Cricetulus griseus: one gene and its partners. The protein of the gene in region 1 binds, or shares a complex with, the protein of each later gene. Links are inferred from orthologs where the notes say so. Each region holds a gene or a part of one and is shown on either strand. Other genes may lie near its edges. The genes, in order: Asf1a, Tlk2 and Cdan1.

What was found.
Region 2: the proteins of Asf1a (region 1) and Tlk2 are in contact, whole or in part, in a crystal structure (PDB 7LO0), measured with the Homo sapiens proteins. The link is inferred for Cricetulus griseus from reciprocal best matches to the Homo sapiens genes ASF1A and TLK2. Residues at the interface, in NP_054753.1 of Homo sapiens: Val45, Ala48, Glu49, Glu51, Asp54, Asp88, Val92, Thr93, Val94, Leu96, Arg108, Gly110, Tyr111, Tyr112, Arg145, Thr147, Phe149; in NP_001271262.1 of Homo sapiens: Arg11, Arg12, Gln13, Leu15, Leu16, Glu17, Arg19, Phe20, Thr21, Gly22, Val23.
Region 3: the proteins of Asf1a (region 1) and Cdan1 are in contact, whole or in part, in a cryo-EM structure (PDB 9CVC), measured with the Homo sapiens proteins. The link is inferred for Cricetulus griseus from reciprocal best matches to the Homo sapiens genes ASF1A and CDAN1. Residues at the interface, in NP_054753.1 of Homo sapiens: Gln5, Val6, Asn7, Asn8, Val9, Val10, Val11, Leu12, Asp13, Pro15, Asn20, Pro21, Phe28, Asp37, Val45, Ser47, Ala48, Glu49, Ser50, Glu51, Glu52, Asp54, Asp58, Ser59, Val60, Leu61, Val62, Gly63, Pro64, Val65; in NP_612486.2 of Homo sapiens: Arg195, Arg196, Ile197, Asn198, Thr200, Val202, Lys390, Leu391, His470, Glu471, Glu472, Pro473, Gly474, Trp475, Asp476, Lys538, Arg541, Arg544, Leu545, Gln546, Arg548, Leu549, Met550, Ala551, Pro552, Gln553, Ser554, Ser555, Arg806, Lys807.

Annotation. Positions count from the first base shown.
Region 1 is NC_048595.1:255,430,194-255,432,857, reverse strand, and holds the end of Asf1a (histone chaperone ASF1A), read left to right. Parts: intron 1-1,350; coding exon 1,351-1,563; 3' UTR 1,564-2,040; downstream 2,041-2,664. UniProt on the Homo sapiens protein: Histone chaperone that facilitates histone deposition and histone exchange and removal during nucleosome assembly and disassembly.
Region 2 is NC_048600.1:118,152,968-118,157,363, forward strand, and holds the start of Tlk2 (serine/threonine-protein kinase tousled-like 2), read left to right. Parts: upstream 1-1,487; 5' UTR 1,488-1,616; intron 1,617-3,683; 5' UTR 3,684-3,685; coding exon 3,686-3,766; intron 3,767-4,396. UniProt on the Homo sapiens protein: Serine/threonine-protein kinase involved in the process of chromatin assembly and probably also DNA replication, transcription, repair, and chromosome segregation. Phosphorylates the chromatin assembly factors ASF1A and ASF1B.
Region 3 is NC_048599.1:57,757,471-57,759,782, reverse strand, and holds part of Cdan1 (codanin-1), read right to left. Parts: intron 1,647-2,312; coding exon 1,539-1,646; intron 1,454-1,538; coding exon 1,390-1,453; intron 1,258-1,389; coding exon 1,076-1,257; intron 74-1,075; coding exon 1-73. UniProt on the Homo sapiens protein: May act as a negative regulator of ASF1 in chromatin assembly.

The DNA of each region.
Region 1 (2,664 bases):
GTACTATTCAGTTTTGAGGGGGGTTGCTATTTCATTCTATAACATGGCCGTAAAGAAATTTGAAGTTTTGTAGTGTTTGAACAAACTAATTGTTCCATTTGCACGGAAGGCCTCAATCCTGTCTCTCCAGGAATTAATGTTCCATGGGTACCCTGAGTCAGATGGTCTAGCTTCCTGCAAAGAGCAGGCCTTCATTGCCGTTAGGTCTTTTATTTCAACCTTGAGGACATGTAATGTCTTATTTTTGTAGTGAAGTGATTATAAAAATATTTTTGCCTATAACTTCCTAAAATCACAGCAAGAAGATAAATGTGGTTTATTGGTCATTTCTTTTGTGATGGTTTTGAGACAGGGCTTTCTGCTGTAACCCAAAGTGGCCCTGAACTATGGCTATGGCATTGTTCCTCAGTTGTCCAGGCTTTCGGATTACAGTTGTCACCATGCCCAATGTGTGCTTATTTCTATTAATATTTAGAATATCTGTATATGTTATCCTGTCTGCTATTATTAGAGCTTAAACTAAAGGTATTAAGTATTTCTGATAATGACAACTTAAATTCTGAGACATCAAAATCTGATTCAGTAGTCTTAAAATCACTTAGTATCTTAGATTTTTTTCAACTGGTAATGGTTACCAGTCTTAGTTACTGTGATTTTTTTTTACTCTGTGTGGTACTCTATGTGGCAGACTTGCCACAGACTAGAGACTTCTGCTTTCTGCTGGTGCAGGTGGGATATCTTCCACAATTTAGAGACATCCTGTTGAGCTAGGATTAGTAGAACCTTTGTATAGCAGAAAACAAAACAAAACAAAACACTAGAATACTGTTTCTAAAAATGAATTTTAATACATTACAGTTAAGATCCCAGTAATTAGAGGTTCTATTTGAGGAAAATTTTCAAGTCTTGTTTTTTGTTTTATTTCTTGGTGCTTATTTGAACCTAGGGACTTAGCCAGAGTACTTTTTTTGCACTATGTTCCCAGCCTGAAAACACATTAGGCTAAAGGCATGCTTATTTAACTAAAAACATCCTTTAAAGGGTGTGCAGAAGTACCTCCCTTCCATTATCCTTTAAGAAGCAGAAATATAAAAGCAAGGTACTTTGTGTGTTGGGGGCGGGGAGGTTGGAAGATCTAGATGGATTTTTTTCTTACCTTGTTTCCAAGGGGGAATAGTTCTTTTGCTATTTGCTATTGTAGTCCTTGCTTATTAGTTAGGTTTAAGTGCTTCACTTGCTGATACATTTGCATATGAATTTAGTCCTTTAAAAGGACTGCCAGAGCCACTCAGTTTGCATATGGTAATCTTAACTTTCCTGGTGCTCATCATTTAAATGTTTCTTTTCTAGCTTCAAAGAAATATTTTGGCATCTAATCCCAGAGTCACAAGATTCCACATTAACTGGGAAGATAACACAGAAAAACTGGAAGATGCAGAGAGCAGTAATCCAAATCTACAGTCCCTTCTTTCAACAGATGCATTACCTTCAGCATCAAAGGGATGGTCCACGTCAGAAAACTCACTGAATGTCATGTTAGAATCCCACATGGACTGCATGTGACCAGGTGCCATCCCAGTAGTACAGATTAAGCTATTAAAAACAGAACTATTTCCCTGAAGTTCCGTAAGTACATAGTCAAGGTGAAATGTGAAGAGAATTTGTTTAAAAACATCCTGTAGAAAGTTTATAAGAAAACCAGTATTTGAGCAAATTGTGGAATATAAATACAACTATTTTTAAGTACTTTCTTTCTCTAATGTGTTATTTTATTTGTTCATGAAACTAATCTGGTTAAAGTATATATATATTATTTTCTTCTTTATATGTAATTAAAGCACTTATAAAAAGAAAACTTATCAATTATTAGACCAGGTTGTGAAGGTGTTTTAGCCTCTTGGACAGTAATACTTTTTACTAGCCTTTAAAAGAACAAAGTTTACTTCAACTAAAATGCTTTTTCCTGTGAAGACAGTGTCCTTTCAATTTAAGGAGCAAACTTCCATACTGTAGTAAAAAGAAAAAAAAAAAGAGAGATGTCTTTAAAAAGGGAATCTGAAATCAACTGTAGCCACCAAGGTTTTTCTAGGCCACCCCAGTGTGTCTTGTGGCTACCACCACAGCTTGTGTTAACACTGGACTTCTGGTTTCTATGTAATAAATGCGGCTACCTTTGAAGTCCTTCTGACTATGGCTTATGCTTCCCTACTTCTAAAACTGAGAAACCATGATCATAAATCATTGTCCAAAGATTTCAACATGGTGAGAATAAACGCAAGGTTTCTAAAGTATAAGATTAGATTATAATGGCTCAGATCTGCTATTCAGTTTATAGAAACTCCGAACATGTGTTTTTGGCACTGTTGCTACAGAAAGGTAATTTAGAAAGGTCTACTTAGCTTTATCCTATTAGGCTGGCTACCTTCAGAAGTATGTCTTAGGTTCACAGCTACAATACCCCATATCCTCTGCTTCTCATTAAAATGATAAGATCAGGGCACATCTGTAGTTGACATATTCTAGACCGATTTCCAGACAGTTGAAGAACAATTTTAGAAAGGAATTTACCAAATAAATGGGCCAAAAGCTTATTTTCTTTGAGAGATAGGTACTTTGTTAAGGTTTGGCTCCATTAAATTTACAGTAGAATATTTTCATTTGACA
Region 2 (4,396 bases), on another chromosome or scaffold:
GGTCTTTGTCCAGTCGGTATGTGGAAAAATTAAGAATAAGGAAGAAATACGGAACAGAACTCCACTTTGGAGTACTTGCCAACCCCCGGAAAAGTTCAAGTGGCTGTTCAAACGCCTGAATGTTTCTCTTGTGATCCGCTTGTAGTCCTTCAGTCATGCTCAGATATCTGGTCAAGAAAGCATCAGAGGAAAACAAAAAGCCGCGTAGTTACTTTGAAGTCAGTGTCTTGGCTCATGAGTATAGGTGAAGAAAGTGATTTTTTTTTTCCTTTGGCGTTGGGGTCAGAGGGGGAGCCCTTTCCCATGCAGGAAGCACAGGCGCTCACCCTCTCAGCAGCTTGTCAGCCTGTTTTCCCACTCCGGCATTTACCCTCAGACCCCCGAGCAGCCCCAGGAGGCCCGTTTTGTCACCAGAGGTTGAAATGGAACCTCCCCCTAGGTGCTCTCAGAGAGTGCCCCGGGGGTAGCGCCCTCCGCTCCGGAGGGGGGCATGCTAGTGAGGGCTCGGCTCTGCTCCCAGGACACCTTTGTCCCTGGAGACGCCCGGCCAGTCAGGTACGTGGAAGGCGGATGCGCTCGGCTTCCCGCGCCCGTGGCGTGGGGGCCTGGGGAACCGGACGGTGGCTGCGGACCTCGGGTGGGCACCGCGAACTCCGGGACCCCCCGCGGGCGCCCCTGCTGCTTCCCCTCGGATCCATTCGGGGCAGCAGAGCCAGCCTCACTCCTCACCCACACGTGTGGAGATCGGGGACGGGGCAGGCGCGGCTCCGACGCGGCTCCGCGGCCCAGGCGCCGGCTTCCGGTGCCGTCCACACAAAGGCGGCTCCTGAGGCTCCGGCCCGGCCGCGTACCCGGCGCCCCCAGGCGACCAACCGCCCTCTCACGTCGCAGCCCGGCCGCCAGCGCAGCCTGTCGCCCGCCTCGGTAGCCCCGTCAGGCGCGGCCTGCTCAGCCGGCGCGGGGTCCCCCGGGTAACCCCTGCCCGCCAGCCCGCCGCTGATTGGAGGAGGCGGAGCGCCGGGGGCAGCGGAGACCCCCCCACAACACCTTTCGCGTCCCCTCCCCACGGTCGGCACTCCCCCCCCCTCAGGAACCCCCCCTTGCCTCCCAGCCGTGCAAATCTCGCGAGGAAACACGCGGTTTCACTAGTGTGTTTACACCGATCACTACTAATCCGGACCGAACCGATCCGGATTAAGGGGCCGGAGGCGGGTCCTGGGCACCAGCGGTTCCGACCCCCCCGCCCCCGGCGCCGCACCCGAGTGGCCCCAGCCGGCCGAACCCCCACTTCCCGGCCCGACCCGGGCCCTTCTGCGCCTCCCTTGGCCTTTGTCCGGCGCCAGGAGGCCGGTCCGCGCCCCCCGCGGCCGCCCGGGCCCGGGCCCGCGTCAGGCGCCTGGCTCTGTACGCGAGCTCGGGGATCTGCGGCCTCCGTGGCCCTCCCCCCGCCCGCCCTCTCGTGGAGCCCGGCGCCGGCGGCGGCTGCGGGCGGGGGTTGCGGCGCTCAGGAGAGGCCCCGGCTCCGCCCGGGCCTGCCCAGGGGGAGAGCGGAGCGGTCCGCAGCCGGGTCGGGTCGGGGCCCCTCCGAGAGGAGCGTGGAGCGGCAGCGGCGGCAGGTGAGAAGCCGAGCCCGGGACGGGGCAGGGCAGGGCGCCGGGCCTGGGGTAGTAACCGTCCCGGGGACCCCCGTCGGCCTGAGGAGGCTGCGACCCGGGCCGGCGTCGGGCCGCAGCTCCTTGGCACTGAGGCGGGAGCTGCTCCCTCAGGGCTGCGGATCGCTGAGGGGCCGGGCCGAAGATGGGCCAGGCCCAGGCCTGGCGATGAGGCGGTCGGCCTGCTGAGAGAGGGGACTCCGGGGAGCCGGAGGCCTCGGTGGCCTCCCCGGCGCCCCCGACTCTGCCCCTCGCGCCCTCCGTGACAGGTGGGCCTAGAGTTAGGGAAAGTTTGGAGCCGGCGAGGGGCGCCGCGACCAGGCCCCGGTGGGTCCTGCTTCCCGGTTTGGGGCTTCTGGGAGGATCCCGGTCCAAAGGCTCGCTGGAAAGAGATGGGATGGATATTTTCTTAACGTGAGTTGACATTAAATGGCATAACTGCCGGGGCCTCATTTTCCGGACCAGGCCTGGGGATGGAGGCTTGGGAAACGTTTCCAGAGACCTTGGGACTGGGGAGAGCCTGCAACCTCTGCCATTCCGACCTCGATTAGGGCAGGGCGAGTGGCGAGTGGCGAGCAAGGCCACTTACCCACTTAGGGAAAACTCAGTTTTATTTTCAGCCTCTTTTATTTTAAAGATGCCCTTCTGCCCTTCTACCAATTTCCTAATGCGAGTGAAACTTTAATTTGTCACCCTTTGCCCCAGGCTCTCCATCCAGGAAGGGAAATGAAAGTTAGGACTTGTGGAGGGGATGTTACTGGAAATTGTGGAGTTGTTCGATTGCAGAGAAGGTTTTCAGTGAACTTTAAAAATTTTGCCAGTCGCTCTAGTAACTACTCAGTAGTATGTTCGAGGGTTTCTATGTAATGATGTCTGCTCCTTCCCAGCTTTTAACATTGAAGAGCTTTTCAATGCATGGTGTAAGAGTTTGCTCTTCCAAAGGTTGGACATACTTGCTCATAGTGTCTGCATTAATTGGTCGGGGAAGGAGTTTAAAAATGGTGTCCTCCTGCCCCTCCCTGCCTGGGAGGAGTGCTAAAAGCAGATATCTAGAGTGGAGAGAAACCTACTGCTTCAAGGAGTGGTCAGAAAATGATTTTGTGAAGGAATTGTTGCAGCGTTATATTAATTTCCAGAGTGAATGCAGGTTGACAGTTTATCTTACATTTAACATGAAAGAATTGCAATTTTCATTAGCTAATGTGAGCTATTGGGAGAAAGGAGCTATACAGTGGGGTTTCTTGAAGTTATTTGCAGCTTCTGATTCATTCTATATTCATTTGAAATTATTAACGAATCCTATTTTTAGCTTAAGAACTAGTTCTTAGGTGTTTGGGAAAGGAATATTTGGAAGTACTTAGATGGAAACGTTGATAGGAGTTTTCTGTTTGCAAGTTTGCCCCTGTTTTCCTTCTCTGCTTACTTTTTACAGAGAATGTGGAGAGTTTGCTGTTTCTTTTTATTTTTATAAATAAAAGTTTTTATGAGACAGGGTCACATTGTGCATCCCTGGCCAACCAGGCTGCCTTCAAATTTGTGGATACCTGCTGCTTATAAGGTGGGATTACAAGGGTAGGCTTCCATTCCTGTCCCTCTTCCCGAGTAAAAGATCAAATTAGAATTCAGGAAAAAGGAAAGGCTGTCTCGTAGAAGAGAGCCTGAGCTGCTGTATAACCTGAAATAACTATTGAGAATATCAAATAACTTTGGTCAGAGTGTAACACTGGAGTGTATGGTTTTTTTTTTGGTTTACAAAATTCCTGTGCATTTTCTCTTTCCTTCCTTCCTTCCTTCCTTTCTTCCTTCCTTCTTTTTTTCTTTGGTTTTTCTCTGTAGCTTTGGAACCTGTCCTGGAACTTGCTCTGTAGACCAGGCTGGCCTCAAACTCACAGAGATCCGACTGCCTCTGCCTCCCAAGTGCTGGGATTAAAGGTGTGTCACCACTGCCCGGCTCCTGTGCGATTTCTTATACATAAAACTCTTTCTCCCATTTAGTTTTTCATGGCTTCTTGGCCCTTTTCCTTCCTGTAGAAATGATGGAAGAATTGCATAGCCTGGACCCACGAAGGCAGGAATTATTGGAGGCCAGGTTCACTGGAGTTGGTGTTAGTAAGGTGAGTAACTTGGCGAACATGGACATTTCAAAGTATAACTTAAACACATTTAGGAACTGAATAGAAGGGCTTGGGTGATAGGGCTTGCTGTTGGTTGCAGGGGAAATTGTCTTGTGGACTAGTGAACTTTGAAATCCTGTCATTCCTGTGGAACATTTAAGTGTTAGTTTGGGAGAGTATGTTTCTTTCCCATTTGAGTAACGCAGAGGTTTCCTGAGGGGTTTGTTGCAAGGATGTGGATCTAGATTCTATTTTGTATTTTGTTAAAACTTTTCAGGCACTCAGAAAGCAAGAGGCATTGTAAAGCTTTCACATACTGGGTCTGTTGGGGTAGTTACATGATACAGTGCTGTTGGATCTTCATACACTGGGTCTGTTGGGTTGGTTACATGATACAGTGTTGTTGGATCTGGTGAAGTCTGTCAGTTCTCCAAATGTGCAACTAGTAGATTCCTCCTGGTTGTATCCTTAGTCTGCCTTTTCACACTTTTATTTTTTGTTTTATGTATATGAGTGTTTGCCTACATGTATGTATGTATGTACCCAGTGTGCATGTTTGGTGCTTGCAGAGGCCAGAAGAGGGCATCACGTGTGCTGAAATATTGGGTTTAGATGGGTGTGAACTGCCAT
Region 3 (2,312 bases), on another chromosome or scaffold:
AGGCTTCTATCTCCAGCTGTCCCATGAGATCCTTTTCTACCAGCTCCCGGAGTAAGAACAGTAACAGGTCCCACTGCAAAATACCAGAGAAGGCCAGAAGTTGTCAAGACCACACAGTAGTCTTAACCGTAGGGACTGAGGACTCAACAGTAGTCCCAAGAGTAGACATATCTCAAAAGACTGAGCTAGGGCTAGAGAGACGGCTCAGCATGCTGTTAAGAGCTCTTGCTACAGCTGGGCAGTGGTATTGAACACCTTTAATCCCAGCACTCTGGAGGCAGAGGCAAGTAGAAGTCAGCCTACAGAGAGGGTTCCAGGACAGCCAGGGTCACACAGAGAAACCCTGTCTCAAAGAAAAAAAAAAAAAAGAAAGAAAGAAAGAAAGAAAGAAAAAACTTGGGATGGGGCACTGGGTAATGTTAAGAACATGACTTTCAGGGATGAAGAGATGGCTTAGTAAAGTGCCTGACGTGCATACATGATGACCTGCATTTGGATCCCTGTTTGTGAATGTCTACCTGTAACCCTAGTGCTGGGGGAGCTAAAGATAGGAAAGTCCTGGAAGCTCAATAGCCAGCTAGTTTAGCCAATCAATGAGTTTCAGGTTCAGCAAGAATAGTGCTCACTAACAAGCACACATGCTAACCCCCCCCCTCACCAACACACACACACACACACACACACCCACACACCCACACCCACACACACACCCACACACCCACCCACCCCACAGAATCAATCCCCTTAACACACAACGTGAGTAGAGGAGCTGGGCATGGTAGCTCACATCTGTAATCAGCACTTGGGAGGTATAGGCAGGAATAATACAGCAAATTTAAGGTCAGCATGAACTACAGTGTAAGAGCCTAGAGAGATGGCTCAGAGGTTAAGAGCACTTGTTGCTCGGCAAGTTCAGTTCTCAGTACTGACATGGTGGCTCATAGCCACCCTAGTTCCAGGGAATCCAACAGGTATGCACATGGTTTACATGCATGAATGATGGCAAAAAACTTCATATATGTATATCTAACCCTCCACCCCCAAAGAAACCAGAAGCCTTGTGCCTCTGACTCACCTCCCTTGGCCGAGTATCTGCTAGAAGCCCCACATTTCTTGGGCTGAGTAGAAGCTGTAGTGGAACTGGCCCCTGGAAGTCATCCTTCCATAAGGAAAGCAGCATGTGCAGAAGCCTTCGAGCCTGTCCTCTCTCTAATTTGTGTTGTGTTGGGGGCCCTAAGATGGGGATCTGGTCTGCAACTACAGAAAGAGAAAGAAGGTAAATTTCAATGGAGGCAGAAGAGCATGACCTGTGCTCCTAACCTTGTTTGTACCCAACCTTGGGGGTTGGAGGAATGTATCATGTGGGATTTGATGGAAAAGGAACCATACCCAGGAGGGAAGCCAACTCCACAGAGCACTTGGCCAGATGCTGCTCAGCAGTTGGGCACAGGAACTATAGGGGGGAAAAGGGGAGTCATGAACATTCTTACTAGCCTGAGGACTGGCCCTGAGCCAACGTGGCTCATGCCACATCTCACCTGGCGGCACCGCAGTGACTGGCCCAGCTGGTTTAGGAGCTGTTCCAGATGCTCTGGGGAAACTCCCTCCTCAGGGTCCCGAGGCCCCGCAGCCAGGGAGAGTACATCCTGTAGAGAGCAGTGTTGAGACCTCATGCCAGGCTGACAGAAACTTGATTTGGGATGGGAACCAGCCAATGGAGAGAGGCAGAAGGAAAACCAAGCCCAAGGGAGTGAAGCAACTGGTGTTCTTAGGGCTGAAGCTCATGCAGGACAGCATAGCTAGGATAACAATTATGTAGACAATCCAGGGGGAAGTAAACGGAGCGATAAGCCTACAGACCGTATACTGCCAGAGAGCCCCAAAGATGTCACTCACCTTGTGACAAAACTACCTAACCAATTCCGAGAGGGCATCTTAAAAACTGTTTTATCTAGAGTCTGAACATCTCTCTCATGCTCTTGTTTATTTTCTCAGACATCTTAAAATAGAAATCCTCTGCATATTGAGAAGTGGTATCTAGCCTGATACCCTTCCCTGTCCCTTCTACAGTCTCCACTGATTGGCACTGCTTTCTAGTCTCTATTCTACAGCTTTATTCCCAGACCACTACTTTGTTTAGAACAGGGCCAGATAGTAATTTAGCCCTTGGAAGTCACAAGGCCTAATAAATATTGCTCCAACTATTCATCTCTCCTTTGGTAGCATAAAGGCAGCCACAGATGTTTATAAACAAATGGATGTGATTGCACTCGATAAAACTTTATTTACAAAAACAAATAATTTTAGACCAT